Linked DNA regions of Notamacropus eugenii. The protein of the gene in region 2 purifies or fractionates together with the protein of the main gene of each other region. This does not show direct contact. Links are inferred from orthologs where the notes say so. Each region holds a gene or a part of one and is shown on either strand. Other genes may lie near its edges.

Region 1 (7,713 bases), on a different chromosome or scaffold from region 2:
GTGCAGAATGAGCCACACGCTCTGAGACATGGTCAGTGTGGTTTGCTCAACTAGACTACCATGTTGCAGAAATAGATTTTATGGGAGTAGGGAATATTGGGAAGTGAGCGATTTTTTAAAGCATCAAGAAAGCTTTAATAAAAATAATAACCCTGGTCTTTAACATTCCAGTTCAGGACCCTTGTTTTGAAAAGTTCATCTTTTTAAAACTTTGGGTGACAAATTTGGGTCCTTCTTTATGTTATTCAGGCTTAAGTCAAATTTCCCTCAGTAACTCAAATTTTCTTTTGGTTGAGAGTAAAGGGGAAGGGGCATAAAACTACGGAAAAGACCTGCCCCCAGGGCAATTTGAGGCTCTAAAAGGAGCATGGTGGTCAAAGTCAGTCCTTAATATTAAGCACATTAACTTCCCACTTCAGCCTACAGGGGATTTCAAAGTTTCCTAGAAAACGAATGAACGATGGAATATGCATCAAGGGTCTGTAAATCTCATTATGCTTCCTTGTATTCTGGGGAAAAGTGAAGGTAGAGGATAACCATCCAACAGGCAGCATAGCATCCTAGAATCTGCATCTTCAGTGGACACAACTGAGTCAGCTCTATGTACCTAGGTGCCTCTTCTGGGTTTCCCCATGCTATAAAAGAGGGGGTTGAACCAGACTAGATAAATCTCCAGGGTGCCTCCCAGCTAAAACATTCATGGGCCTAAAGTCCCTTTTAGAGCAGGGAGAAACCTTGGAGCTTATCTAGTCTGGTCCTACCCTGTCACTTAACAGATGGGGAAACCCAAGACAAGCACACAGGCAACACAGCAACACAGGTTAGGAACTGAATTTACTAGAGGAGAGGCTTCCACCAGTAAAGGGCTGAAACGTAAAAGGTGTGTCAAGATCTTTCTACTACTGATATACACTCCAAATTCCAGTGTTAATAAGCTTTTACTGTTTCAATGCAATCAGGATTTTTTTTTTCTGGAAAAGAGGAGAGGAAAACACCTAGTCATAGGAATGTAGATTTGTTGTTGGAAGATACTTAAAGGTCAACAAGTCTAACCTACTCATGTTACAAATGAGGAAACTAAGGCACCAAGAAGTTAAGTGACTTGTCCAGGTCACACAGTTAGTAGGCCACCTACGGGGCAACAGGGGCACCCGCTGATAGCAAAGCGTGCCAAGTGGTCTGGGAATCTGCCGCTAAACTTATTAACAGATGACATCAATGAGCTTCTCTGGCCTTAGCTCAGTGCCTGGCACAAAGTCCATGTCGAATAAATGCTTGTTGATTGATCGGGCTTCAGTTTCCTCCCCTATAAAATGCCGGTGTTGAACTACATGACCTACCTACAGGGTTCCTTGCACCTCTGCCCGTCTAGCTCTTGAAGGCAGCAAAGACCGTCCAGCGAAAACCTAAACAGGAATCCCCTCCACAAAGTCCCCTAAAGCAGAACACCTCTACCAGTGGGGAGCTCTCCACCTACCCAACTTCAGTGGTTTCTTCCACTTTAGGACCGTTTGGACTGGTCCTACAGAACCACAGAATGTCAAAGGGCATCCAGTCCAACCCTGTGTGAGCAGGAATCCCTTCCCCGGCGTTCTTAACAAGTATATCAGCGTCTTCTTGAACACCTCCAGTGATGGAGAGCTCACCGCATTAGGAGGCAGCCCACCTTGTCAATCAATGGGCAGCTCTAACTGTTCCGCATCAAGTGAGTCAAGGCGCTCAGCCGCCCGGGGAAAGGCGGACAGAGTTTGGGACGGGGAGGGTGGGGACCAGAGGGGTGGGGGAGGGGAAGTTAGGGGAGGGAGCCTCCTTACCTGCCCCAGTCCTTCCTCCCGGGCGCGAGCGCTGGTCTCCTGCTCGCGGAGCTGCTCCTTGAGGTGGGCCACCTGCTCCACCAGCCCGTCCACAAGGGACGGCGCGGGCCCGGGCCCCAGGGCGGGCCCGGAGCTCTCGTAAGCGGCCAGACTAGCCCGTAGGCGTGCCACCAGGGCGTCTCGGGAGGCCAGCTGGCCCCGCAGGAAGCTCAGCTGCTGCACCGCCTCGTGGTAGAGGCCGCAGAGCGCGGCTGCACGCGGAGCCTGCTCCCGGAGCCTCCGGTTCTCGCGCTGCAGCCGCTCCACCGCCTCCTCCGGTTTCTCGGCCGGGGGCCCCGCCCCGCCGCTGGGCCCGGGCCGGGAGTCCTTCGCGCTGGCCCCGGAATCTTCTGTGCTTACGGATGACATGGCGGCGGGGAGCCGGCCTGAGCTAGGAGCCCAGGAGAGGCCCCGGCCCCGGAGTCCACTGGAAGTCAAGAGGCGGCTCCGGGCTGACAGTCCCTGCAGGAGGCCGGGCTCGGGCTCAGCTGTGGGTCCGCAATCCCGGCAGCAGGCCAAGCGGACGCTCCGGGATGAGGGTCCTTGCAAGAGGCCAGGGAGGGGCTGTGGGACGGCAGTCTGTGCAGGAGGCCCGGCTCGGGCTCCCCAGGAGGCTCGGCGGTGAGAGATCTTGCAGGGAGCCCGGCTCAGGCTCGGCGGAAGGCGAAGGGGCTCCGAGACCAGGAGCCGCGGAGCCCAAGGAGGGGCTGCGGTCTCGGGGTCCGGGCTGGGAGCTGGGGCAGCGTCCGCTGGAGGTTCCAAAGGGCGCTCCCGGGGCTAAAGGCCTTCGGGGGGCTCCCGGCAGAAGGGGGGAGCTGAAAAGGTGGGTTTGGGGTGAGATGGGAGCCCCGCTGCCCTGGAGCTGTGGCCAGCGACGGGAGCTCCAGGGGGGCTCAGAGGAGGGGCGGGGGCTCTGGACCTCAAGATGCTTTTAAGCGGCGTCTAGGAAGTCGGGGCTAGACCTAGGCAAGCCCGAGGGGTGGAGGCTGGGGAGGGCCCAGGCCGCGCGGGGCGGGGAGAGCACACGCCAACGGGAATTTCCTGCTGGGGCTCTCCCCGAGCATTCCCGGGGACTTTTCCTCCTGCACCCGATTCTGGCCTACCCTAGGCCGTTTTTCCGGGGCAGGGACCAGGGCAGTAGGGTGCTTGCTTAGGCCGGTGCAGTCTGGTCCTGCGCAGGCACTGGATGGAGGGAGAGCGCGGCCGGGGCAGCTGTCCCGGGTAGCTGCGCTTGCCCCGAGTCTGAGTCTCTGCTTCCACCAGTCCAGGAACCTCTGAGGGCTGGGGCCCAGCGCTTCCCTAGGTCTCCCAACTCTGCCTCCTAACATTTGCAACTGGAAGGCCCTTGGAGATCAGCTAGGCCATTGTAGAAGAAACAGAAACTCAAAGTAGGGGAAGTGACCTGCCCAAAGTCACACAACCAGTAAGTAAGTAAATTCAGACCCAGATCGTTTGACTACAAATCCAAAGTGCTCTTTTCACCAAACCAAAGGATTTCTTATCACTTTGAAAGACAGGATCTGTTAGGAGTGGTATGAGCCAGGGTAATACCTGGTTTTCAGTTCCAGGTAACTTACCCTCTCTAAAAAGGTCTAGGATTCCATGAGGTGATGGACTCAGAATGCAGATGGACATGGCCAAGGGGGGAATATGTTTTGCTTGACTATACATGTTTGCAACAGGGAATTTTGCTTTTCATGCTGGTGGGGAAAGGGAATGGAATGTGGGAGAGAGAGAAAATGGATCTCTGAGAAAAAATTTAACTAAAAAATAAAAGATCTATGATTCTATAAAGTAAAAACAGTAGTACTGGATTTGGATCAGGACCTGACTTCGGATCAGAGGACCTGAGTTCTAGGACCACCTTGGACAAGTCACTTTTGACCTTAGTCAAGAATCTTTCCATTTCTGGGTCTTAGTTCCCTCATCTGTAAAAGGAGAAGATTGGGCAAAGAAGTAATGATCATGCTAGACTTCTGCCCTGATTAGACCACATCTAGAATATTCCACTCAGTCCTAGGGGGTCACATTTGAGGAAGGAAATTCATCATCCAGAAAGCTCCAGAAGTAAACAGACAGGATGGTGACAAGCTTCAAACCCATACCATCATAGGATCCACTGAAACTGGGAATGTTTTACCTAGAAGTGAAGAGATTCAGAGAAGACATGATTACTGTCTTCATGTATCTGAAGACATATTGTTTTGAAGAGAGACTATGCTTCACTCAGGGTTTGAAGTCAAGTGTTTATTAAGCACCTCCTAAATTACAGGCAGGGCTGCTAGGTGGCACAGTAGATAGAGTGCCAAGCCTGGAGTCAGGGCCAAGGCCCCAAGTTCAAATCTGACCTCAGAAACTTACTAGCTGTGTGACTGTGGGCAAGTCAGTTAGCCCTGTTTGCCTCAGTTGCCTCATCTGTAAAATGAGCTGGAGAAGAAAATGGCAAACCACTCTACTTATAAACAATCTTTGTAAAAAAAAAAAAACCCAACACCCAAATGGGGTCACAAGGAATTGCACATGGCTGAAAATGATTAAACAACAACACATGACTGAACAACAACACTGTGGAAAGTACTGCAGATACAAAGATGCAAAAGATAGTCCTTGCCCTCCAAAAGCTCATGAGAGCTTTTGAGACAATCTAATGAGACAATGAGACAACATGCAAGTAACTGTGTACCAAAAAAAAAGGACAGTATAGGAGATAAATTAGAGATACTCAACAGAATAGTTTAAGTAGCATTAAGGAGGATGGGGAAAGGCTTCTTATAGAAGGTAAGAATTTAGCTAAGACTTGGAAGCAGCCAGAGAAGATGGAGAGTATTCCAGGTCCAGAGGACAGCCAGTAAAAATGAAGAAGTTGGGAAATAAAAAGTCATGAATCCTCTTTTTGTGTTCCACTCTGTGTGCACATAGAAACGCCCTGGAGGGATGGGGTGTTCAAATTCATAATTAAAAAATACATATAAAAAGAAGAGTGATTAGCCTTGTACAGCCTGGCTCTAGAGGGTGAAACTTGGAGCCATGAGTGAAAGTTGAAAAGAAGTCAATTTAGGCTGGATGGGAGGACAAACTTCCTAACAGTAATTTACAGTAATGTAATTACTGTAATGAAAAAGTGGAATAGGTTGCTTCCAGAGGAAGAGTGCCTCCTTTCACTAGAGATTATTAATTAAAACTCTTAGAGAAGGGACCCTTATTCAAGTAATGGTTAGATTAGATGGCTTGAGATTCCTTCCAATACTCTGCAGTTCCTTCAAGATCTAAGTGCCTTTATTCAATGAATATTCAAGAAAGTCAAATCTATGTATATGCTAGTAGGCAAATGAATGATAGAAGAGAAAACTACCAGAGTTCAGAAGAGAGACTTCCTTTCCGCTTTCCACATTTCCTTCCTCCACAGGTCTCAGAGCCTTCTATAGTCTTGCATCAGTTTGGGGAGTTTTTGTGTTGTTGTTGTTCTTTGTTTTGAATTTGTGAGAGTGCCCCTTGTGGCAATTCCCATGAAAAAGCCAGGAAATCATAGACTAGATGGGACCTTAGGGATTCTCTAGGTCTACCCTCCTCGTTTTACAGGGGAATACCCAAATAAGGTTACAAAGCTAAGTCAGGGACAGTCCTCGTGTCCTAGTTCCCAGACCAATGTCCATTTAAAATCATTAAAAAATAACCTTATCTCTACTCCTCTCTTTGTTTCAGTTTTGCAGGTGTGTCTTATCTCCCCCAAGTAGATAGATACCTATAAGCTCCTAGAAAGCAGGATTGTATCTTAATGTATTACTTCATTCGGTCGTACAGGGCTATGTACCTAGAAGCTGTTCTGCAAATAAGTGTTGGGTTTATCCTTATGTGAAAAATAACCAGTTGTCAAAATGGATAGGGATCTGAAATTAAAAGATTACACTGTAAAAAAAATTAGAAGAGAAAGATCAGGTATTTTCCCAGGGGAAATATTCTTAATCAAAGGATAAGGGTCATCCCAAAAGGCAATTTTGATTACATAAAATTGAAAGGCTTTGACATAAAATCAATGCAATGATGATAAGACCAGAAAAATTAAATTAGGAAAAAAATTTGCATCAGATATCTCTGATACCTAAGATATATAGTGAATTAGCGCAAATAAAACTTACGAGTCATTCCCTAATGTGTAAGTGGCTAAAAGATATGAATAAACAATTCTCCAAAGAACTGAATACTACAGTATGAAAGATTTGTCCTGAATACTAATAAAGACTGATAACACTAATAAGAAAAACACAAATCAACACAACTCTGAAGTGTAGCCATATATCCAGTAAAGATGAAAAAAGGTGGTGCAACACCTGTTCTACTAGGATTCCTCACCAAGGCTTCGGATAACTGACGTTTGTCTTTAAGAGCCAAATGAAATGGCAGGTGGAGAGGTAGCAGCTGGGGCTGGCCATTTGGTATTACGCTTGCAACTGTTACTCTTTTCTGCCTCAAATTGACCAACCTCATTCAGGGTTCGCCCCTCAGTCTGCTATTTGACTTTTCTCACTCTCTTAATCTTAGTTTGAGCTCTAGAATAATCCAGAATTATCTGTATATTTTCTTATTCAATAATAAAATTACAGTCTCTTAGCTAGAGTTTTTAAACTTAGCTATTTTAAAAATAAATGTTTGCTGATATCCTTTTTTCCCTCCACATCACCAGAATTCTTCTCAATATCTTTATCCTTCCTACCTAACAGAGAGCCATTCCATAGAACAATATTTTCATTAAATGTTATTCAACAGACTGGAGAAACCTCCTTTTCCAACAGTAATTACTCATCTCTATATTAAATCCTTTAATGTTCTTTGATTAAATATTAACATTCCTGAGCATATAATTTTTAAACAAATTAAATCAGTAATAAAAGCAAAGTCACAATTATTTACAATACTTTAGCTGTTTGAAAGATCACAGCCAGACCCACCTCTAACCTTTAATGACACATGAAGTTTATTTACGAAAACCCAATGCCACTATTCAGTTCACTCATGTTATCAACTTATATCTCAAGAATCTTCACATTTCTCCTCAAGATAAGAGTTAAATTCAATCAGGAATTTAGTCATCTTGCTTTCTCCTCTAAGCAGACATCATAGGTAAATCTCTCCAGAATGTACTATAAATCATCAATTCCTCACAATGTCTTCACAGAAATATCTTCTAATGATCAAAAAAATGACAGTTTTGTTTTGTCCAGTTCCTGACACTGAATATAATCAGTGTGAATTTAGTGATTCTTACCAGAAAAGTTTTCTGTCTTCTCCATATTTTGTCTTATAGAGTCTCATAGATCAAACACATGCGCACACACACACTTGCCCTTCATAGAAAAACCTCAAAGAATGACAGTTGCAATTGTAAAACTAAATGACTATTCCCAAATACTTCCCTTCTCTTCCCACCCCATTCTAAAAGATACAGGGACTACTTCTATTATCTCTACAGGAGAGCCTAGTGAAACAGATGTTTCAATGGAAACAGCCAATGTTGAAAGGCCTGTGGAAATACGGGCAAACTGATGGTACCATATAGAAGCTGTGAGTTGGTGCCCCTGTTCTGGAGAGCAATTTGGGATCATGCTGAAAAAGTGGCAATGATGTTCATACTCTTTGACCCAAAGATCTCAGTGCTAAGCATATACCCTAAAGAATTCAAAGAAAAAATGATGAAATAGACTGGCATGATGTATACCAAAATATTCATAGGAATAGTATGGGAGGGGGAGGAGCCCAAAAAAAGACTAGAAGCAGAGGTGATATCCATCTACTGGGGAAAGATTAAACATGTTGTGGCTCATGAATGTAATGGGACATTAAAACATTCTAAAAATGATAAATA
Region 2 (8,404 bases):
TTAAAACTTAATAAAAAGGAATAGAGAATGAACGAGTGAAAATATATTTAGCTATGTGCCAAGTACTGTGCTAAGCCTGAACAATACAAACAGAAAAAAAAATGAAGACAATCCCCACTCAGGATGCTCACCCGCTACTTGGGTAAGACAACATGCAAACATTTGTCAACATGTCCAAGGATCTCTTTCAAACTCTCCCTCATTTACTTCAAAGCAATTTAAAATGTTCCTGAGATAGAGTACCAGAAGATAAGATATAAAGATAAACATACCTTGCTCTTGGCCAGTTCAGAATTCATAGGTTTCATATTATTTAGAACTGAAAGGAACTTTAGAGATTCTCTTTTTTAGCCTCCTCGTTTTACAGGGAAGGAAACTGAGACCCAGAAGGAAGGGAAGCCAAAATTCAAGCCTATCCTCTAATTCCAAATCCAGTCACCGTTCTCCCTCGTTAGACTCACCTAGTCAACAGTGAGAAGAAACACCAGCAATATCATCGATAAGGGAGAGTTTTAATGCTGAATCTTATCTCCATTTCCATCTATTCACAGGTTATCTTAAACACATCCCTTAACTACAGTTTTCCTCGAGTCTCCTCTTCCAAAAGTAAACAGTTCTAATTTAGAAGACCTTTCAGGCTCCTTGTGAGCAGAAACCACTGAGGCAGTAGGAACCAGAGTTGGGCCAAAATGCAGAGAAGCGTTGTCATATGATTTGAGACCTTCTCCTCTCCAAAGAACTCACATACCACCCAAATTCCAAGATTCAGCAGAGGGATTGGAGTTAAAATGAAAATGTTAATTGGTAGTTATTACAAATTAAGGAGATTATTAACTCAATAATTCCTGGGAGGGGGGGGATGATGAAGTGGAGCAAGTTACTACACCTGAGTCTGTTTCTGTAAAATGGGGACAATTATAAAGATAAAAAATAAGGTACCCATATGTGGCTTTAAGGTTTGCAAAGCACTTTACATACATTATCTCATTTGACCCTCATCCTAAGTCTGTGAGGTGGAACTGATGTTCCTTAACCACATTTTACAAGTGAGGAAACTGAAGCTATAAGAAGCAAGGTGACTTACCCATGGTCAGACAGTAAGTATCAGAGGTAGCATCTGAAACCAGGTATTCCTACATTCAGGCAGCCTACACCTCATGAGTTCATTCCAGTATTGGCTACACCTTTGCTCATTCTCCTTGGATCATTGACCAAGTCAGGGGAATTAGAATACTACTTGCTCCCCTTTGCCACTTCCAAGATCTCTTCCTAGCTCCATCCTTCTTTTCCCTTTGAGATTCGTGCTATTCATTTCTAGAACCCAATCAAAATCCTGATAGCTGGTATCTCCAGACCCTAGGCTTACTCCCCTGCCAAGCTTTAGTCTTGGATCACTCTCACCATTCAATGTCTTCACTCCTATATATGTGCAATTGAGCAAAGAAAGAAGGAAAAATCACTCAACTATTATGATTGGGTTCACTACAAATTTATATTATACAACCTGAAATAAGCCCTCACCACTGCTAGGCAATCCTACTATACTTCCCTTATTGATTCACTATCCTACTCTCTCAAACCACCCCTAGGTTGGACTTCCCCCAACTTCTCAGCTAAGTTCCCGATATCATATTTTACAGAAAAAAAAACTGAGGCCATTTTGTCATTCAAATGGCTTCTGCCACTATCTACTCCTGCGCTTCTGTCTCACATGATGAGATGGCCTTACTTCTTACTAAAGGTAACCCTTTTTGCCTGTTTAATCAATCCCATTGCTTCCTATCTCCTCCGACAGTCATCCCCACTCTATCAGTTATTTTTAATCTCTCCCTGTCTATAGGCTCATTCCCTATGGCCTACAAATATGCCCACTTCTCTTGCATCCTCAAAAACAACAACAACCCTTGACCATCCCCTCTATCTAACCACTTTCCTTCCCTACTCTTCTTACCTGCTTACAATTCAGTTTCTGACCTTATCATTCCACTTAAACTGCTCTCTGCAAAATTACCAATCCACTGCCAAATCTAGTGGCCTTTTCCAGTCCTCAATCTCCTTGATCTCTCTGCAGCCTTTGAAAATGTTGATGACTTTCTCCATCTTAATTTCTCTTTTCTCGAGGTTTTTAGAACACTGGTCTCTCCTGGTTCTCCTTCAGCCTATCTGACTGCTCCTTCTCAGTCTCCTTTGCTGAATCCGCATCCAGATCATGACTTCTAAGGTGTGCCTGAGGTGTTCCTCCAGGTTCTGTCTCGGGCCTCTTCTCTTCTCCCTCTACACTACTATACTTGATGATCTCACCAGCTCCAGTGGATTTAATTGCTGTCTTGATGATGAGGATGATTCTCAAATCTACCTATCCTGTCCCAAACCCTCAGCTGGCCTCCAGTTTCCCATATCCAAATGCCTTTCAGACATTTCAAACTAGATGTCCTGTATACATTTTAAGCTAAAATGTCCAAAACAGAAATCATTATCTTTCCCCTTAAACCGTCCCCCTCTCTCACCTTCCCTATTACTATAGAGAGCAACACAATCTTCCTAGTCCCTCAGGCTCCCAACCTAGAAGTTATCATGGACTCCTCACTATCTCTCCCTCCCTGTAACCAATCTGTTAACAAAGTCTATGGATTTTGACTTTGTAGTACCAGTGGTATATGCCTCTTTCTGATACTGCTACCACTCTAATGGAGGCCATCATCCCTTCATGCCTGGATTATGCAATGGCCTGCCTGCTGGTGGGTCTATCTGCCTCAAATCTCTCTCCACTCCAATCCATCCTCTTTTCAGTCACCAAAGTGATTTTCCTAAAGAGTAGGTGCAACCAAGACACTCCCCTACTCTATAAATATCATTAGCTCCCTATCACCTCCGAGATCAAAATCAAAATGTTCTGGGCATTCAAAACCCTTCATAAACTCAATGTTTTCTACCATTTCAGTCTTCTTCCACCTTACTCCCCCCACCAGGTATACTTTGATTCAGTGACACTGGCCTCCTGGCTGTTCCACAGACAAGACCCCTCATCTCTTGGCTGGAGTATTTTCTCTGGCTGTCATCCATGTCTGGGATGCTCTCTCTCTTCAACTCCACCCACTGATTTCCCTGATTTCCTTTAAGTCCCAACTGAAATCCCATTTTTACAGGAAGTCTCTCCCAATGCCTCTAAATTCTAGTGGCTTCCATTTCTTAATTATTTCCTATTTACCTTGCATATAGCTTTGTATATATTTGCTTACATGTTGCATCCTCCATTAGATTATAAGCTCCTGGAAAGCAGGGACCATCTTTTGCCTTTTTTTGCATCTCCAGTGCTTAACATAATGCTTGGTACATAGGAGCTGTTTAATAAATATTGACTGACATAGATTGAGAACTTTGAGGGATCTTAGAAACCATCTAATCTCATTTTCTCAAGGAATTTACAATCATTTGGGAGAAATAAGTCCAACTCATAACACAGCTAATGATTTACTATCATGTATAATTATGTACCAAAGTAGATGGTACAGACCATAAGTATATTCCAGCATTATGCACATTATCAATACTCAATAAGTGATGTGGGTTGACATACTTTAAACGTGAGCATTGCACAATAAATGGCATATATTTGAATGCCAATGCCTGGGAGAAAAGTTTTTAGCATAAAAATGTCCAACAGACGCCTCCATCAGTGATTCTCACTATGAGAATAAATCTTGATAGCTTTTTCAGTAAAAAACAATACATTTTGATTGATTGACAATGCTTGAAAGTGTTTTGTGCCCTTTCCATACACATAGGCTATTATTCTGGCCACTACTACCAGTAATAATAATTGTGATAGATACTGAATCTCTGATTCCATTGATACAGAGAACTCCCTTTGCCAATGCAGGTAATACCTTCTCTTCAACTTTGCCTTCCAGGTTAAATGACTTGACCTGGGTCACATTCAATACATGCCTTAGGCAGGATTTAAAACCTATAGATTTTAGCTTCTGAACTATCCTACCTATAAGGATGATGATGATGATGATGGTGGTGGCGGTGATGATGGTGGTGATGGTGGTGATGATGGTGATGGTGGTGGTGATGATGATGGTGGTGGTGGTGGTGGTGGTGATGGTGGTGGTGATGATAATGATGGTGGTGGTGATGATGATGGTGGTGGTGGTGGTAGTAGTGGTGGTGATGATGGTGGGGATGATGGTGGTGGTGGTGGTGGTGGTGGTGATGATGATGATGATGATGGCGGTGGTGGTGGTAGTAGTGGTGGTGATGATGGTGGTAGTAGTGGTGGTGATGATGGTGGGGATGATGGTGGTGGTGGTGGTGGTGGTGATGGTGGTGATGATGATGGTGGGGATGATGGTGATGGTGGTGGTGGTGGTGATGGTGGTGATGATGGTGGTGGTGGTGGTTTTTTACTAGAAAAAGCCAGGATCTAATCCAGTCTTTGGGCTGGACCTTGGGCAAGTCACTCAAGGCTCTTGGCCACTCTCTGAGATGACAGCTGTCAGAGAAGGTGCCAACCTGCCTCGGTGGATGGAGTTTCCTCTTTCGGCAGTTCCCTGCATCAGTCATATCACAGTCCCTGTCACTATCGCCAATAAATTTATCAGTCACCAGCTGGGGGTTTTCTAAGGAAGCTGACACAGGACTCCTTGGAGGTCAGAAAAAGGTTTGAGAGAACGGGGTACTTTTGGGTGGAGGTGGGTGGGGGGTCCCAATGAGGCACCTTGGTGACGATGCAGAATCACGGGCTGGGGCTTCGGTGAGGAGCAGGGAGAAGGGGGTGCTGCGGTCCAGCACGTCCCAATCCCCCCGTGGGGCTGAAATCCGGGAGAGCTCCGCATCTCGGCCCGGGTCTGCCTCCTGGGGGGTGTGGCTACGGGGCACCGATGGCTGGGGAGCCCGGACGGAGGAGGCGAAGGCACCGTGACACCCCCTGCCCCCGCCCGGGATTCCTGGACAACTCCCTCGAGCACCGAGGGCCCTTCCCGAGCAAGCGGCCCCCGGACGCCCCCGGGGAGGCAGTCATCGGCGGGGGCGGAACCGAGGCCTTTCTTTCCACGTTTCCCCCTCCCTCCGCTTTTTTGTTCTTCTCCAAAGTAGGTGATTTTTGTTTTTATTTTTTGAAGAAAAACGACGGCGAAAAAAAAAGAACCGTCTTCATTCCCATCACCGCGATTTCCACATGGACATGACGTCCGGCCGGCGCTTCCGAAATGCCCAGGTTGAGTCACGCGGGGACAACCCCGGCTTTGAAAGGGTGAGGAATTTTTCGGGCCCCCCGGGCCCCTGCGGGAGCCCCCTGGTGGCCGGCGGTGCGCGGCCTGCCCGGGGCAGAGCCCTTTGCACCCGCGCCCGCCCCGGTCCGAGTGCTCTGCAGAGAGCCGCCGCTGGGCGTCACAGTCACATGTCGGAAAGTCCCAGCGCCCAGGCTGGAAATCCCCGGGCTCATATATTATTACCCTGGCTAAAAGAAAGGAAAAAGGAGAACTGGCGCAGTCGTTCTAGGATCTAGGCTCTAGGATCTAGGATCTAGGCTAGGAGCCGGCGGGGGTGGAGCAGCTGGGAGAGCAGGCCGGCGGCGGAGGAGGAGAGTCCTAGTCCGGGAGCGGTGACGGCAGTGGAGGCGGCCGGAGGCCGGCCCGGCCGGACTTAGCGCAGCCGAGCCCCAGGCTGCCTGCCTGCCTGCCTGCCCATGGAGCGCCCCGCCGCTACGACCTTCACGTCGGCCCCGGGCCTGCTCGTGCACTAAATATTCGGGACTTTGGCGTTTCGTTGGGAGCTCGCTCGCTGCTGCTTCGCCAAGGTAACCCCGACCTACCTCTGCGCCCCCAAACCTTGCAGGGGAGTGGGCGCGATCCGGCCGCACGAGGGTGGCACGGACCTTGACCCCTGGCTTGCAGCTTGTGGTGGTGATGGGGCGGGGAGGGGAGGAGGGCAGGCCGGGGCGGGGGGCGCCTCCGGATCCCCCCGAAGGGCTGCGCCTTTAAGATGAATTAGAGATCGTGCGGAGACCTTTAGCTGCAAAGGGACGGAACGTTAGCTAGAGTCGTGGAAGCGCCGACTTTAGAAGCTAGCAATTAGAAGTCACGCAGGGGGATTCCACCTTGTCCGCCCAGGGCCACGGAGAGCGCGGAGAACGCGGCATTCCCCGCGGTGCAGAGCGCAGAGGCGGAGGACGCTGCGGCGCGCCCCCGGGCCGCGCCTCCCCGGGCCGCGCCTCCCCGGGGCCTTGGCGGACGGGGTCGGCTTCTTGGCTTTCTAAAGCTCCGCAGACGCTGAAAGCCCTGCCCCCCCCAGCCCTGGTCAGCCAGCTTCGCCGGGCTGGCTTGTCCCACATCCTGCCACCTGGCCTCTTCAGGACGGCCGGGGCATGAAGGACTGGCCTGAGGCCGGAGCCCGCTGCCTGCAGCTCTCTTCTCCTAGGGAAACCAGGCTGATAAAGGGCTTCAGAAGCTGGCTGTCCTTCCCCTCGATGGAAGCCCTGAAGTCTTGAGACATGAACAGGGAAAGATTTAAGAGATGATGACACAGATCTTTAACACTGGAAGGAAAGAAAAGAGTGATTGCTTTGGGGGAAACTGAGGCACAGTGCTGCATGTATGAAGCAATTGTTGAACCCGTGCTAAGGGTAAGGCGTCGTGCTGGCTGCTCTAAAGGATCCAAAGACCAGGTTGTGGGCCAGTCAGTGATGCAGATATTCTAGTCTAATGCACCGGACCTTGCCTCCAGCAGTTTGGGGAATTTAAGGCTTTGGAGGAGTGCTTTCCAGAATGGAATTGGGGTTTTCGTTGATACAGTTCACAGATTTCCATCTCGCATGCCAAAGCACCTGTGCAAAATGGAAAAAGAAAAAGAAAAACCAAAAGGAAAAAAGAGGAGGCTTCTAGATATGAATAACTTCTAAAGAATTTTGTAGTTCCCAGTGACAGAATTTGGGGAAATTTTTGTGAAATGAGTCAAAGAAATATTACAAAACATCACCTTTTTTTTTTTACATATTCATAAGACTATTTTCTTGTCTTCTACAAGTGTATAACCATCTGTTTTTAGAAATGTTTACTCCGTGGCCCCATCTGGAGTGAGGTCTAAGAACTGGAAATTTGGAAGGGGGTATTTTTGTTTGTTTCAGTGGGTAGTTTTTGGAGGATGAAGGACTGCGGTAAATGGTTGAGTTGGTTCATGTTCTCGAATATTGATGTTAAGATGGGTTTGTGTGGATGTATTTTGGCTCTCACAATTTAAGGAAGACCTCTGGGACTAGAAGAAGCAGTGAATAAAAGGGTGATTCATTCTTCACATGTTTTCAGGACTCTTTAAAGGCCTTTTTATGGTGACCCATTTTTAAGTGATCTAAGATTTACAAAACATTTCACTCAGAGCCATTCTGTCAGGGAGGTCATGTAAGTGTTAAGTCTTCCTTTTTTATAGATGAAGTTAAGATCCAAATAGTGCAAGTGATTTGCCAGGATGCAAGCCAAGACCTCCTCTCTCCAAGGGATTTAGTGCTGCCCATCTTATTTCCCTCGAAGGTTAGAGTTTTATAAACATGTTTCTGATGGAGAAATCAAGGACATTTTGAAAGACCACACTTGCAGCCTTCAGTCTCCCTGCTATCGAGAGAGAAAAACACTTTAACATTTGGCTGAGGGAAGGAAAAATTATTCACCTGAAATCACATATAGCAATGTCAAATTGAAATTGAAGTCATTGAAAAAAATTCCACTAGAGAAAAACCTTTTACATTTTTTATAATAATAATAATGAAAGAAGTGTCAGGGTTCATAGTGATCACCATAATTTGAAATCCTATAGGGTAGCAGATGTCTACATTACTTAATACCTTATGCATTATGATAGGCCAAAGTAGCAAGCAAGGATCTCAGCATCCCTAAGATATATGTATATTTGCCTTGGAAGGTAGGTTAGCTTTCAGCCTTGGAAGAGTGCTGTGAAAAGGCTTTCTTGATACAGTACCAGAGCCAACTCATTCTTGATGCATATCTTTGTCACCTTGAAGGTTCAGGAGTCATATAAAGAAAGGGAGATACTTTGAGACTACCTGGGGAAATACCGGGATAATTGGGAAATGTTTGGGGATTTTCATTGTCTTTTTTTTTTTTTTTTTTTTAGTAATATGTGATGATAGGAAAAGGAAGCAATGAAAACACCTGGTGCTTGCACCACTATGACTCGTTAGCCAAAATGGGTTTGGTAGCTAGAACCTAAAATCACCCTAGCTAGAAGATAATCTCTGCTGGCCTCCCTGCTTCTCCATATTTCTTATGTTTTGCTCTTTCCATTTCCTCTTCATGGCCCTCATTTTCCTGTACTGTTTGATTAGGTGTGAAGGCCCCTGGGGGGTGAAAAAGAGAGCCAGTAGTTGGCATCTGGAGTACCAGCTTTT
Region 3 (7,826 bases), about 290 Mb from region 2:
AAGTAGACCACAAAGAGCCAACCTAGCTTCATCAAGAATAGGTCATACCAGACTAATCTTATTTCCTTTTTTGATAGGATTACCAAACTGGAATGTGGCATCCCTTAGTTTATAGCTGCCCCTCTCTCCCTATGTCCTTCTGAACATCTGGGCTTCAGTCTAGAGAGCAAGGGAGGAGGTGGTCACAGGAAATGAATGATACAGCTCTGGCAGGGGAGTACCATGCTGAAGGTCAGGGAGGAAGACATTAGAACATATAGTGGACAGCTTTTTCTTTTTCTTTTTTTTCTTTTTTTTTTTTTTGTTGGGGCAAACTATTGGGTCTGCCTATACTGCTCTACCAGTCATGAGTGAGTTGGAGCCAAAGGAGGTTCTAGATCACTGAGCAGTACAGAAAAACCCAGACCAAAAAAACTGTTTGTTCTCAAGTCCAATCAGACTATGAGTTTGTTCCCCATTGCTCCAGTATTTCTTTACCTGCCTTCTTCACCACCATCTTCACCAGTCCTACTTGATGCATGAATATCCTACAATGAATTTTGAGTTATGACGTATTGTTTGTACTTCTTTGGTCACTCAATGGAGGATTCAAATTGTGTATTTTTTAGAACTTCAGATAGAGCCCGTGTCTGGGGGGCTTCCAGGTACTAGAAGAGCAACAGAACTTGCAGCTACTTATTAGATGTTTTTATGCATTGTTCTCTTGTTATCATGCATTGATTACTTGTTTATTGACTCCATGTTGAGTAAAAATGCTGTTTAGAGTGTCCAAGCATATGTGTCTGTTTTTTGTAGAGAGAAAGGATTCTAAAATACCCTGAAAGGCTCAAGAGGTCATCAGATTGAACTGAAAAACATGAAATTTAATAGTGAAAAATGCAAAGTTTTCCACTTAAGTTAAAAAAAATCAACTTTACCAGTACAAAACATGACATTCAGGGCCAGGTCTTACTCACGTCAATCTAGTGGCCCAGGATCAGGCCTCAAATAAAATGAGACACTTGTGGACCACATAACCTCTAATAAAAGTTTACTCAACAGTATCATGGAAAGGCTACTCAACAGTGATACACTGTTGGTTCAGTTGACTGCAGTTCACCTTGGCACTCCCCTTGCCCCTGCACTCCTCCCAATTCACCAAGGGGACACAATCAGAAGAATTGTTTTGACTTGTATGGAGGTGGAAGTTAGCTAAGACTGAGGAACCTAATTACTTACAGGCTGAGATTTTATGCCTTAGGAGGCCTGGAAGTTTGATTGGTTGTTCAAACCCTAATTCCCTGGACCAGTCATGTTTCCAAGGTGGTCTTTTTAAAGAAGTTTAGGACATACATGAATTTCTAGCTATGCAAAAGTGTTTATTGATATGGTTCCTGAACACATGAGTAACAGACATTGCTATACATAACTAGACGCAGTTCATCCAAAAAGAATATGGGGAGTTGAATGGAATGCAAACAACATATATGCAGCGACAACAGTATGATATGGTAGGAAAAAATGACCAGGGCAGGAATTCCAGGCCAAAGGGAAGACTGCATTTCTGTCCTTCTGAAACAGCAGAACTTTCCAGCTGGCTGATTATTAGATGAATTCAACAGCAGTCTACTGACACTCCAAACAGGGCAAGCTCACAAACATGCTGGTCAGATACAAACCCAGGTCAGGAACTTGCAGGGCTCAGATCAGGGAGCCAGTTATCAGATTTTGCTCTGGATCACTATGCCCTCCCACATTAAGTGCAGTGAAAGCTTGTGGGTCCCCAACTTGAGCTGTCCAGAGATTCTGAATAACACAACACTGAACACCACAAGAAAACAACAGCAGGACCAGCCTGGACATTCCCTCCAGACGTATACAGAGTCCAACACTAACATAAAGGTTGAAGTCAAGATGCAGGCTGGAGGAACGGGCAAACAAACAAACAAATAAAAAACAATACCATTACAAAAAGCTGTTACGGCGATAGGGACAATCAAGACATAAATACAGAAGAGATTTATTCCAAAACATGTACAAGAAAAGCCACGAAGAAAAACACAGTTTTGGCATAAATTTAAACTAGACTTCTAGGAAGAGAAAAAGAAAGAGCTTAAAAATATTTTCTTCCTAGATAAAATGAAAGTTCTAGAGAAAAAGATAGGGCAGTGGGGAAAGAGCCATAAAAGAAAGAATTGGAAGAGATACAAAACCTTGACCAAGCCTGAAAAAAAAAATTCTTTAAAATCAGAATGGACCAGAAGAGACCAATAACTCCATTAGACAATAAAAAATATTAAAATAGAGTCAAAAGGTTGAAAGGATAAAAGATAAAGGTATTTCATAGCAGAAACAACAGAAAAGCTGATTGAGTCAAGAAATTTAAGAATGATTGAACTACCTGAATATCATGATCAAAAAAAAGGGGGGTGGAAGCTAGAGATAATTTTTCAAGAAGTCATCAAACAGCCCAGATCAGGACCAGGGGGCAAAGTAGAAGCAGCCTCTATTCCTTCCTGAAAGAAACCTCAAAATGAAAATTCCCAGGTACATTATAGCCAAAATCCAGGGCTTTCCAGATTAAAAAAAAATACTACAAGCGTCCAAAAAGAAAGAATTCAAGTACAGAGGAAGCCACAGTCAGAATGACACATGATTAGCAGCCACCCCTAGAAAGGAGGGAAGAGCTTGGGATATGGCCAGCAGACAGAGGATAGAGATGAAAAATGAAAAATAACTTACGCAGTAAAATGGAGCATGATACGGATCTTTACTGAATGGAGGACTTCTAAGCTTTCTTGATCAAAAGACCAGAGCTAAGTAGAACCTTTGAAAGCCAAACGCAGGAGTCAGGAGAAACGTTAGAAGGTAAAGCCAAGGGACTAAACAAGGGTAAACATGGAGAGGTGTTAGCTGGGTCCCACCTCACCCTCTTGTCCTCAAGGCTAATTAGACACAAGGTCTAGGAGTATTCCTCTCACAGAGTCTTCATGATCTTCCAAGCAGGACAGAGAGAGGAAGAAAAATACACTGAGGAAGACAGAGGAGATCCAGAAAAATAACCTCACATAATCGGACGGGCAAGAAGTCCATCAATCAATATTTAGTAAGCACCTGCTGTGTGCTAAAGAGTCACAGGATGTTGCTGAGCTCCAGGAGCTTACAAGGAACACGCAAACAACAAAAGGCAGAAATCGCTTTCTGCAGAACAGGCGGGGAAGGCGTCGAAAGGCAGCGGGGCCGGGGACGGCGGGCGGCCAGCCGGGAAGGACGAGCACGTTCTGGGGCCGGGGAAGGCGGACGACGCCCGGAGCCCGGGAAGGACAAGCACGTGCTGGGGCCGGGGAAGGCGGGCGGCCAGCCGGGAAGGACGAGCACGTGCTGGGGCCGGGGAAGGCGGGCGGCCAGCCGGGAAGGACGAGCACGTGCTGGGGCCGGGGAAGGCGGACGTCGCCCGGAGCCCGGGAAGGACGAGCACGTGCTGGGGCCGGGGAAGGCGGACGACGCCCGGAGCCGGGAAGGACGAGCACGTGCTGGGGCCGGGGAAGGCGGACGTCGCCCGGAGCCCGGGAAGGACGAGCACGTGCTGGGGCCGGGGAAGGCGGACGACGCCCGGAGCCCAGGCTGAGGCCCGGGAGCCTGCGGGCTGGGCGTCCGGCCTTGGTGGTGCATTTGGGCTTCGTTCGATTCCTTTGGGGGACGGTGGATTATTGCCATGGTCCCTGCCGCTTTGGATCACCCGGGCACCTTATGTCTAAGTATTCGTCTGTGTCTTTGATAAGTTTTATTAAGATGTCATTAAATAAAATGGTTTTGGATCAGTTTATTTCATTTGTCCATTTTTAATACAATTTGCATTTCTTTTCTCTTTTGAAAATAGGAATAGTGAAGTGCGAAGAGAAAAAAGAGAAGGGTAAGACAGAGGGAGGGAGGAGACAGGGAGGGAGGACCCTTGGGAAGAGGGAGCCAGCGCAGCAGCGTCTCGAGACGCGGGAGGCGGGGCGCGAGGGAGGGGGCCCGCGGGGCGGGGTGCGAGGGGCGGGGCCTGAGCACGCACAGCGCGGTGACGCCACGACGCCGGGCGGGCCCGCTGCACGCCGCGTCGCGCCGGGCCTCGTTGTGGCGGCCGGCGCTGAGGGGGCGGCGGTCGCTCGGCTGTGGTGGCGCCTCGCCTCGCCCGGTCTTGCGTGGGTCGGCTAGGATGCGGGCCTGGCCGGCGGCGCCGGTCCCCGCCGTGTCCGCGGTGTCCGTGTCGGCGGCCCCGGGCCCCCTCCGGCCTCGGCCGGCCCGGCCCTGAGCCGCCGCCCTCGCGGGGGGCGGGGCCCCGGGGCAGCCGCGGCCGCTCCGGCCCCTCCCCCGCCCCCAGCGCCGCCCGAGCCCGAGCCCGGCCTCCCTGCCAGGCCGCCGCCGCGGGGCCCAGCCCGAGCCCGGAGCCCGGAACCCCGAGCCGCCGCCCGGGGCCGCCCAGGGGGATGAGCCGCCGCAGTCGGCCAGCCTGAGCCGGGCCGGAGCAGCGAGAGCGGTCCCCGGGAACGAGGCAGCGGAGCCCCGGAACCCCCCCCCTCCCCGCCAGCCCCCCCTCGGCGACAGCCGCCGACCCTCTCCCTCGAGTGACCCCCCCCGCCGGCTCCCCCAGGGGCCCTCCCCCAGCCCTCCGCCCCCTTGCACCCCCTCCCCCGTCCTCGCACGCACTCCCGGAAGATGGGGAACTGCCTCAAGTCCCCCACCTCGGATGACATCTCCCTGCTCCACGAGTCTCAGTCGGACCCGGCCAGCTTTGGGGAGGGCACGGAGCCGGATCAGGAGCCGCCGCCGCCATATCAGGTAGGGGAGGGGGCCCGGCGGGGGGCGGGGGGCGGGCCCGAGGGGCAGAGAGAACGTCCTGGAGCCCCCACCACACCCCCTTTGGAGGCCAGCCTGGTTGTGCGGAAGCACTTTGAAAAAACCCGCCCCGGCTCGGCCTGCCTTGGTCCCCGGGGAGGGGGCGCCTCCCGCAGAACCCCCACCTCCCCTGTGCTCCAGGAGGGCGCCCCGGGCTCGAGGGGCCTCGGGTAGCCCAACCCTGCCCCAAACCATGTCAGCACTGGCCAGGCACAGCACTTTGGGGAGAGGGGGGCCGCCTTGTGATGGGGGATCCCTGCCTTGGAACCGGAGGGGCTCAGTTCTTGTGGCCCGACTCGGGGCCTCCTTTGTTGATTCATGTGGTGACATCACTGTCTGGGGCTGTTCTTTTCTCCTGACTGGGTTAAGTCGGTGGCCTTCTCACACCGGAAGGACCAGGCAGGCAGGAGGTGGTGAAGCTTTGCGTGTTTGGCATTACGTTTACCGACGCTGCCCGGGCATCCTTGGCAGAGAAGGCAGGACTTGGAGAGGCTCAAGCTGAGGCCCAAACGTGCGCCTCCTCCCTGGGCACGGTGGGCGAAGCAGAGGAGGCCCGTGTTGGCTCCCGGTCTGTTTTTGAGGTAGACCCCCCAGAGTGCTGGATATTCCTGATGTCTTAGTAGCCGAGGGCTTAGAGGTGACTTCTTTGTTAAGGAAAATGAAGACCCTGGGTGAAATGCCCCATGATTTCCACTCAGTAGGAATCCCAAAGCCAGGGAGGCTTGCATTGGACCGTGAGACCCTCCCTTGAAATTCTGCCTGGTGTTGGCAGTGGCACCTTCTTTCGCTTTTGACCTTCCTCGCAGCAGGAAAGAATTAATTAACAGACGTTTATTAAGGCCCGGCTGTGTTGGAGGACAGAGGCAGTACAGTCCGAGGATCGTAGCTTTGGAGTTAGCAGGGATGGTCAAGGCCATCAGGTCCAGTCTCTCCAGGGTCACATACATTAAACGTCTGCGGTGAAATTTGAGCCCAACTTTTTTTGACCCAGACCATTGCTGTGTCGGCTACTACACCATTCTCTAAAGGAACTTAAATCCTAAAGAACCAATGGATCCTAAGAACCTGCCTCCAAGAAATGGATAGTCACCTATTGAGAATTTGTTGTTAACTGAAAGACTTTGATATAATTTCAAAAAGAGGACTGGACTGTTTCTTTTAGAGAAAAAAACTATATTAACATATATATTACGCATCTTACCACACTTATCTTTCAGCACCCTGTGATGCAAGGAATCCCTATGTTATCCCCATTTTACATTTGAGACAACTGAGGCTCACAGAGATTTAGTGGTTTGCCTATGCTTGTCACATTCCTAGGAAGTGTTGAAGCCCAGGACTTACCACTGTCAGCCATGTTTTTGTGTTGTTTTTCCTAAAAGGATAAGAAATTTGCTCAGATTCATTATTCCAGGTGATTTAAATATTCATCTTCATGATGATTCTTTTCCTTTGTTAATGTAATACAAAGTAGCTTTGTCTTTTTTTTTTTAAGAAATGGTAGATAATTAACACAAAACTACAGGAAATTTTTAATTTAGGCTTGCCATGTCTTAAGGAATGAGTGATAAATGAAGTAGGAATTATTTTATGTCAGGGAGTAGCTAAGTATGTAGAGGCAAACTTGGTATTACACCATACGGATTAGGTTAGGATGTGGCCTTTAAGTTTTGTTTCTGTTACACAATATACATGTACACCAAGTCCTCTGTAGAATAAACTTACTAAAATTTACCTTGTTACTTCCATTAAACTCATTGAGGCAAAACATAATTTTGATACATTTATTATTTGTTGTATATACAACCTAAAATAAGCTTATGCCTTTTTTAAAAGTTTGCTGTATAGACAGTCTTTAAAATCAGTAAATATTATGGGGTCATAAATTTAGAACTGGAAAGGGATAGGAGAGGTTATCTAGTTCAACTTCTTTATTTGATAGAATGAGCAGCTTAGGCCCAGAGATGATTGACTTGCCCTATTTTACACAAGTAGTTAAGTGGTGGAGCCAGTATTTGAACCCAGACCTTCTGACTTCCAAATCCATCTGGCATTCTAACCCCTTGCCATTTGAAGAAGAATGTAGTTGTATATCTTGTAAGAACTGTTTCTATTTACAATTCTGTTTTTGTTTTACGTTATTAATCTTTTATGGAAACCAACCTAAAGATCACATCTCAATTGTATTCTCATGTATTTTCCCAAGATTTGAATGCTTTTGGTTATATAATTGCATTCACTGTATTTTAGGCCCTTTTTTCTAAGATTCCGTATGGACAATTTTACTCTGAAATTTAAACCTATAACTGTCCCATCCCCTCTCCCTTTCCTCAAGACACCATGCATTTGTTTGACATTTATTTAAACACTGTATAGTGAATAAGAAACTCCTCTCTTTTAGGACCTTGCACAGTCTAGTAGGGTGAGAGTGGACATTTAAATAGAGATTCTGTTTCATTTCATATTTTAGTCATGGTAGAGATCTAAAGTGCAATGAGATCAGTTGAAGGAAGAAAGCATTTCCAGGAAGGTTTGTTGCACCCAGTCACCCGGATGAGAGCTTGGTAATGAATATTTATCAAGGAATGAGTGGTGCTCGGAGCATTTGCATGAGCACATTTACAATCTGCCCATTTGCGGTTTTGCAACATTACAATAATTTAAAATTTACTAAAAATTTCTCTGCCTATTTTGTGTTCATGTAAGATTGTGGCAGACAGATATACATTAGAAATAGAAATTCTCTTTTGTTTTTGCTACAGCACGCAGCCATGTCATACCCTTTAATGAAGATAAAGACTTTGGGGAGTAAAACTTTGAATTTATGCTCAAGCACAACTTTGCCTTTTGTTCTTTAATCAATTTTTCTTAAGGAATAAGAATAAATGTTAAACATTTTGTGATTTGTGAAAGAACTATAATCCTCTCAACCTGGAAGACCATGTATGTTTTATAATCTATAGGGA
Region 4 (7,720 bases), on a different chromosome or scaffold from region 2:
ATACAAAAAGGGCTTGGTACTAGTAGAGAAGCTACCAGTGCTCTTACTCTGAGCACATTCCCAAGAACAAGGCTCCTTAGCCTTCCTAAATGACAAGGAACGTCCACCACAGAGTGGACTGGAGCATGCAGCACGGAGAAGTGAAGACCAGGAATCCCATCTGAAACACCAACTAGCTGTGTGACCTTGGGCAAGTCATTTAACCACCTCTCTGGCCTCAGTTTCTTCACCTGTAAAACGAAGAGGTCAGACTTGGTAGACTCTCAGACCCCTTCCAGCTACAGATCTATGGACCTCTGACCCATTCACAGGACAGGAGTCTTCATTAGGCTATTTTCGGGGGTTGGCACTGTGTGCTACACCATGGCCCAGAGAAGGGATCAGTGGGGAGGCAGGTGAGCTTGCTCAGGACCTTGGGAAGTAGCTAGAGTAGACAGAGGTGGAACTTGAAAAGGGTGTCTGTGAAGGGTGAAGACAGAATTCTATCTGTAAAGCTATATAAATATTACCAAAGCAGACTCTGAGCTGAAAGGGCCTCAGAGGTCATCCAGCCTTTACTTAAGCTAGGCCTGTGCCCATGGACTGCAGGCTGTGCAGCAGGCCTGACTTAAGTTGCTGTCTTGGGAGTAGGTTCCCTCTCATTAGAGGCTATTAATTCAATTTAAACAAGACACTTGTTAAGTACCCACCCGACCTAAGGCACTGTGCTGTTCATTTGGGAGATGAAGGCAAAAATGAAACAATTCCTGCTTTTGAGGCGTTTACATTCTGGTGGGGGTAAATATGTACCAGGTATTTGGGGAGGAAAGGGACACTAAGCTAAGGAGTCCTAGAGCAGGTATGGAGGAGGTGGATTCTAAATACTAGTACAGCATGTGAAAGGAAACAGAATGAGTCTAGAGACAAGGTAGGAAGCCAGTCTGGCTGCATATGAGTAACATGAAATAAAGTCTGAAAAGGCAGGGAGGAGCTAGGCCATGAAGAATTGGGGGAGGGGGAGGGAGGGAGAATTAACATAACTAGTCTTCAAGTCCAAGCTAGGTGACCGTTTGTCTCAAAATGCTTCTTGGATCGCATATGCTATGGAGGGGATTCCTGGTCAAGCATGGGTGTTGGACTTGATAATACCTTCCAATCTGAATTCTGAGAAACACAAATTCCATGTACAACATCCTTGACATTTAGTTACCTAGTCTCTGCTTACATACTCCCAGGTGACAGAGAACTCACTACTTTACAGTGTGTGGTGAAGAACACAACTTGAAATGAGAAGAATCCAAATTTCAGGTCTTTGATTGTTAAAACAGCTGGGTGGCTTTAAGTGGTCACTTACCTCCTAGAACATTACTTTTTCTTATCTGTGAAATGGGGATAATCCTTATTTGTACTACCTATCTCACAGTGATATATCCTGAGGAAGTACCCAATTCCTGGTCAGCCGGCTTTCTGATCAGTTCTTACCATGACTGAGCCTATAACTCACCTGCTAATAATTGACACACTGCCCCAGCCTCTCCACTCTGAAGTCACACAAAACATGTTTAATCTTTCTGCTCTGTGACAAACAGTAAGTCTGTTTTTCTCTAGGCAAAATATCCTCAGCTCTCCAGTATAAGTGATCAATTGATGTGGTTCCTTGAGAAGGTGGAACCTACTTTAGATCTGTTTTTTGAGCATTCTATAGTAGATGGGTAATCTAGAAACATTTCTACAAAGTGTTACTGAAGTATAACCTATGATGTTTATAGACTCTCAGGGCCTGAGCTGAGACTTCAGCTCCTGAAAATAAGACATCCAGCCTCCCCTGAAATCCTCCAGGGATAGAAGTCCTTCTTAGGACCTGGGCTCAGGAGCAAGTTTTCCCATACATTTAGTGGAGAGTCATCCTCTGTACCTTCCACCCACTTCTGGTTTTGCCTTAGGGGCGAAGCCCAAGACCACAGCCCTTCAAATATTTGAAGTCTCCTCCAGCTGAACCTTCCTCAGGAAAGGGGTCTGGGCCTTACTGGCAGTAGAAGGAACCTCTTGAGCTTATCCAGTTCAAATTTGTCATTGGACAGTCAGGAAAGGCTGGGGCTGGATAAGAATACCTAGGGTGGTCTACAGAAATGGGGGGCTGCGGGTACAAGATATGTGTTGCGGGTACAAGTTATGTGTGACAGGTCTAGAAAGGTCTCTAGAAATCTTCTAGGAGCAGGTGATTGACTTGAGTCTCTTCATTAATCACCTGGCTGCATTATCCTGGAACTTCTCCCAAATCAAATGACCTCTCCACCTTGCCTGGGGCACCTCTAGGACTGAGTATGGGGCCAAGATCTTCATTTAAGGAGGGGGCTCCTGATGGCTCACTTGGCTGCACTTCTCAGGGCTTCTCCACCATGTCCCCCCACCGGGCATCCCTCCACCCATTTTCAGCTTCCCTTTGCGTGTGGTCTTCCCTCATAAGATTATAAACTCCTGGAGGCAGGGACCCTCTTTCTTGTTCTATTTGTATACTCAGGGCCTGGCATAGCACTTGGCACACAGTAGGTACTTAATAAATGTTTATGTAACTACTGACTATTAAGGTAGCCTTTGAGGAGTCTAAGAAGGTGGAGGAAAAGTTGTGAGTGATGACATCCGGGGGCATTTCAAGCGCTTCTGAATCAGGCAGCATAGAAGTGAAGTGGGTTTAGAGGGGGTGCAGGATGACACTGGTGGTGTTGGGGGGATTTCTGGGGGTCTTGTGCTGACTTTCAGGGAGCTTCTGGGGTGTCTTGCTGACGGCATGTGGGGTTGAGGCGGGTCTCTGCAGGAATGAGACGGGATGGCTGCTGAGCTCAGGGCAAGCGGGGAGCCTTTGGGGGGAACTCTGGGGAGGAGTCTGGGGGCACCTCCAGGAAGCTCAGATGAATTGGAGAAGCTTCCCACCCGGGCACTCTGGAGAGGTAGGGGAGCTTCTGGTGGCGTAACAGGGGGCTCTGCTTCTGGGGGCGTGAGGGTGGTGGTGGGCACTCTGGGGGGCCCCTAAGGACCCAGGGGCGCTGTGGCTGGCATGTGACCGTCGGGGGGCACCCCGCCGAGGCAGGGGGCTTCTGGGGAGGCTCTGGCTAGGCCGGGGGCACAGAGTGGGATGGGGTTTCCAGGAGGCCCCGGGGCCGGGAAGGCGCCGCAGGCGGAGGCTGGAGGCCGGGCCGAGCCGGGGTCTGGGGGCGGCTCCGAGCCCCGGGGACGTCTGCAGGGCCCAGGGCGCCCGGGGGAGCCGCGGCCTCCCTCCAACGCGGGGGGCCGGGTTCCAGCCCCTGCCCGGCCCAGGGAAGCGAGCGGCGGGCTCCAGACTCACCGTGACTTGCGTTACTTGCGGCCTTCCCTTCAGCCGGTGCAGCTGCCCAAGGCGCCGCCGACGCCGCTCCGGAACCCCCCACCCCCAGCACCGCCCGCCTTCCCTCCCGGCTGCCCTCCGAGCCGGGTGGGGAAGGGCGGGGCACCGAGCCGCTAGGACCAACCGGCACATCGGAGCAGGAGATGGGCGGGCAGACCGACCAATGGCAGAGGGGAAGGAGGGATGCTCTGGAACTCGGCCCCCCAAGGAGGCGGGGGCCGTTCAAATGGACAAGCCGCACATCCAGTCACAGGCGAGCACCGGGCCGAGAAACACCGGCACAGGCCAATCAGCAGCAAGTTTGCCGTCTTTGCCACTTCCGACCCGGCTTCCAGTGCGTGCTCCGTTGAAATGAGCCCCCTCGATCGCCGGGCAGTTCTCGCTCGTATCGGCTCAGCCGAGAGAGCTGGAGAGTTGGGTCAGAGCCCCGCCCTCCACTCGTGATAGTGCCCAGCATGGACCTTTGCATGGATCCGCACGTGAACTTGAGCCGAAGCTACACATTCTCGACCCGTCCCCTCCCCAGGCGTCCTTCGTGTCGCATTCAGGAGTTTTACCTGGGAAATGATCCCCGGGGCCCCAGGCCTTTTCCTTCCTACCAAACCCCAGCAGAGATCCTCGAGGTCCCCGAGGTCACGCACTCCAGCGCGAGGGCTCAAGTGTGCTGGTTTCCAGGACAAACCCTGCCCCGAGTCTGGCTGCTTGCCCTACGCACTCCCCATTCATGCTCCCTCTTGGCTCTCTGCCTAGAGTGGCAGCGTGGAGTAGTGGAAACTGTGTGGGGGTATGGGTGTGTGTGTGAGCTGGACTTGGGTTTGAATCTGGATTGTGACACTTGGCACTTGTAGGACTCGGGGAACACATTACTTAGCCTCTTAGCCTCTGCATCTGCGGAATGGGTATAAAAAGACTTGCACCAGGGTTGTGAAATCAGTATATAAATGAGTTATTACACTGTTTCCAAGTAGTACTGATTTTTCAAAAGGCACAGCTCTGTTCTCCCATCCTCCCTGATCAAGCCCAATTAAAGTTGATGATCTTACCCTTACTTTGGATCCCCGTCCTTACACAATCTGCGTATCACACGGTCTTCCTTTGGCTTCTGTGAACTTATTAATGTGGATATTTCCCATAACAGTGCAGATCATAGCCCACCAATGCAATCATGCCCCCTCATCGAGACTCTTGCCTCTCTCCTACTCCCAAGGTCATCTGGGATCAACCACTTTCTGGATACAATGAAGCTTGTTTTCTTGTTGATTTCTCTGCCCCAGCTCCTCTTCCATTTGTAATAGACAAATTTAGCATAGTGCCTGGCACAGAGTAATTAAGAGATTTTTTGATCACATTGTTTCACAGAATATGAAGGTGGGAGGAGTTTCGAGATATTCCATCAAGCCTCTTATTTTGAATGAAAGCATACATAAAAAATAAAGGGGGAAAAAGGAACCAAGAACCAGTGACGAATGGAATCTATTCATGTGAAGCAGGATAAGAATTGTATCTCATCTTTGGTCACCCAGAAAGGCTGTGACTCAGCTGCAGACAGGACCACAGGGTCTCTACTCTTTCTTTTGACAGCCCATCTTTTTTTCTGGGGGTTCAGGGAGGCAATGGAAAGAGGAATGGATTTGGAGTTAAAGGTCAGTTAAAGACCTGAAATTCAACTTTCATCCCTGTGATCCTGGGCAAGTGATTTCCCCTCTCAAAGAGACTGTCTTCATTTAAAAACAACAGCAACGTTTCTTTAGCACCTGTGCTGGGCCCTGGAGGTACAAATATTAAAAACTGACAAGAATGAATGAAGCATCGGTAAACACTGTGACACGTGCAGTGGTTACCAAGGTCACACAGGTTAAACTGTATCGCGGCCTTTCCTTTTTGTATTCCCAGTGCTTCGCATACAGTAGCTTAACACAAGTTCCTTCACTGGAACTGAATGAACGGTCCTAGGGAGCAGGGATGGAGAGCTCCCCCAGCGTAGAGGGACAAGGCGAGCTCTTCTTTCCCCGGCCCTAAGTGCTCAGGGGGCCCGTTTCCGCACGGCCGACAAAGGCCAGAGCACAACATGGCGGCCCCCTAGGACTGGCTGAAAGATCCGGGCCGGCGCCAGCACTGCCACTGACTCAGAGCCTGAGTGACAGGAAGACCGGACATCCGTGGGGCAGAGGAGGTCAGGCCTCCAGCGGGACGGCTGCCCGCCTCCCGTATCCTCCTTTCCCGGGCGCTCCCTTCTTCCGCTTGGCGACGTTCCAGCCTTCTCTACCTAGCGGGGAGCCCCTCCAAAAGCCCCCGCCTCGCTTCGTGGGAGCAGTGGGTTTCGCGTTCCCTTCTCTAGGTCCGCTCCCCTCCCTGCCCCCGGCTCTGCTAGGCAGCGGGACCCGCCCCTCTGTACCCCTCTCCCTGCTGGCCCCGCCCCCTCGGTACCCCTCTCCCCGCTGGCCCCGCCCCTCGGTAACCTCTCCCCGCTGGCCCCTCCCCCTCTGTACGCCTCTCCCCGCCGGCCCCTCCCCCTCTGTACCCCTTTCCCCGCTGGCCCCGCCCCTCTGTACCCCTCTCCCTGCTGGCCCCGCCCCCTCTGTATCCCTCTCCCCGTTGGCCCCGCCCCCTCCATACCCTCTCCCCTCTGGCCCCGCCCCCTCTATATCCCTCTCCCCGCTGGCCCCGCCCCCGTTGCCCCTGTAGCTCTCCTCCAGCCGCTAGGTTAGCCCCGCCCACTCCTCGTGCTCTTCCCGGCCCCTCCACGTGCTCCATTAGCCCCGCCCCGCAGCCCACCCTCGCCTTCTCCATGGCTGCGGCCCAGAGCCCGGGCGAGATCAACATCCAGGCGGGCGAGGGTCCCCCGGCAGGTGCCGGGGAGAAGGCCGGGAATGGCTGCCCGTGCGGGGCCGCGCCGGGGCCGGGGCCGCGGCGGTCGTGGCGCCACAAGTGCGCCTCGTACGTGCTGGCGCTGCGGCCCTGGAGCTTCAGCGCCTCGCTGACCCCCGTGGCGCTGGGCAGCGCGCTGGCCTACCGCTCCCAGGGCGCGCTGCAGCCGGGCCTGCTGCTGGGCAGCGCCGTGGCCGTGCTGGCCGTGCACGGGGCCGGCAACCTGGTCAACACCTACTACGACTTCTCCAAGGGCATCGATCACAAGAAGAGCGACGACCGCACGCTGGTGGACCGCATCCTGGAGCCGCAGGACGTGGTGCGCTTCGGCGTCTTCCTCTACACGCTGGGCTGCGTGTGCGCCGCCTGCCTCTACTGCCTGTCGGCGCTCAAGCTCGAGCACCTGGCGCTCATCTTCTTTGGGGGCCTGTCCAGCTCCTTCCTCTACACCGGAGGTGAGACCCTGGCCGGCCTGGTGTTCCCCAGGGGGTCTGAGAGGCCAGGTCTGGCTGTGCTCCCCAGGGTGCTCTGGAGCAGGCCTGGCTGTGCTCCCCAGGGGGTCTGGGCCTGGCTGTGCTCCCCAGGGTGCTCTGGAGCAGGCCTGGCTGTGCTCCCCAGGAGGTTCGGGGTTGCCTTGGCCCTACTCAGCTCCCTAGAAATCACCGGGAATCTAGCTTACCCGTGCTCCCTAGAGAGGGCTTGATATCTCAGACCAGTCACTGCCCATCCCCAGGCTGGCCTTGGCACCCATTCCTATGTGCTGGGGACCTTGGGTCAGTCATTTCTTTAACACAGTCCAGAGGTTTCCTTTGTGTAAAGTGAGGAGCTTGGATCAGAGTATGCCTAAGCCTCCTGACAGCAGTTAGTGATTTGGAGGGGTAGCTGCCACCTTCCACACCACTGGGACCATTTTCTTTTCTCTTATGTGGACATCCCTTAAAGGGACTCCTCCTGCTCACTAGGGTTCTTAATGTTGTTTCCTAACCTCCAGGTCAGTTTAGAAAGTCATCCAACCACCATTCTAGGAGTCTGACTCTGGCCCCAGAAGCTGTTCTCCCTTTGGTCATCATTTCTAGGGATTGTTGTTTTAATGAGGGGAACTGGCTTTGATTTTCAGTTCAGTTCAGCAGTTATGTATGTGCCTATTATGGGCCATGCTCTGGCGATGGAGAGACAAAAGTGAAACGCTCCCCATCTGAGGCTTCTTCAAATGCCCAGAAGCAAGCAGGTGACAATGGAGTTTGAGGAATAGCCAGAGGGTCACTTAGGTTGGAATGGAAGGATATGTGTTGTGGGGTGGTGGGACAGCCAGCTTAAGTTATGTGAAATCACTCTGGAAAGTCTGCTTGTTCATAGGGGACCTTAAATCCTAAGCAGTTTACTAAGGCCTTAGGGGAGCTGGCCTTTCTGTGCCTTAGGAAGATGATTTTGGCAGCTCTAGAGAACAGATTAGATAGAAGCAGAGGGGTCCATTAGGAGAATGTTGTGATT

Evidence for each region.
Region 1: the proteins of TNFAIP3 (region 2) and TNIP2 purify together in Homo sapiens (affinity purification with western blotting; 5 studies listed by BioGRID and IntAct, with this or other methods). This does not show direct contact. The link is inferred for Notamacropus eugenii from reciprocal best matches to the Homo sapiens genes TNFAIP3 and TNIP2.
Region 3: the proteins of TNFAIP3 (region 2) and RNF11 purify together in Homo sapiens (affinity purification with western blotting; 3 studies listed by BioGRID and IntAct, with this or other methods). This does not show direct contact. The link is inferred for Notamacropus eugenii from reciprocal best matches to the Homo sapiens genes TNFAIP3 and RNF11.
Region 4: the proteins of TNFAIP3 (region 2) and MTOR purify together in Homo sapiens (affinity purification with western blotting, with the first as the bait; 3 studies listed by BioGRID). This does not show direct contact. The link is inferred for Notamacropus eugenii from reciprocal best matches to the Homo sapiens genes TNFAIP3 and MTOR.

Annotation. Positions count from the first base shown.
Region 1 is NC_092877.1:52,608,309-52,616,021, forward strand, and holds the start of TNIP2 (TNFAIP3-interacting protein 2), read right to left. Parts: upstream 3,649-7,713; 5' UTR 2,223-3,648; coding exon 1,815-2,222; intron 1,706-1,814; exon of another isoform or gene 1,269-1,705; intron 1-1,268. UniProt on the Homo sapiens protein: Inhibits NF-kappa-B activation by blocking the interaction of RIPK1 with its downstream effector NEMO/IKBKG.
Region 2 is NC_092873.1:224,323,786-224,332,189, forward strand, and holds the start of TNFAIP3 (tumor necrosis factor alpha-induced protein 3), read left to right. Parts: upstream 1-4,875; 5' UTR 4,876-5,182; coding exon 5,183-5,257; intron 5,258-5,324; exon of another isoform or gene 5,325-5,803; intron 5,804-6,255; exon of another isoform or gene 6,256-6,595; coding exon of another isoform or gene 6,596-6,628; intron 6,629-8,404. UniProt on the Homo sapiens protein: Ubiquitin-editing enzyme that contains both ubiquitin ligase and deubiquitinase activities.
Region 3 is NC_092873.1:511,485,521-511,493,346, forward strand, and holds the start of RNF11 (RING finger protein 11), read left to right. Parts: upstream 1-4,361; 5' UTR 4,362-4,680; coding exon 4,681-4,803; intron 4,804-7,826. UniProt on the Homo sapiens protein: Essential component of a ubiquitin-editing protein complex, comprising also TNFAIP3, ITCH and TAX1BP1, that ensures the transient nature of inflammatory signaling pathways. Promotes the association of TNFAIP3 to RIPK1 after TNF stimulation.
Region 4 is NC_092876.1:50,533,352-50,541,071, forward strand, and holds the start of MTOR (serine/threonine-protein kinase mTOR), read right to left. Parts: upstream 3,426-7,720; 5' UTR 3,323-3,425; intron 1-3,322. Other genes in the region: UBIAD1 (ubiA prenyltransferase domain-containing protein 1), read left to right, coding at 6,150-6,684. UniProt on the Homo sapiens protein: Serine/threonine protein kinase which is a central regulator of cellular metabolism, growth and survival in response to hormones, growth factors, nutrients, energy and stress signals.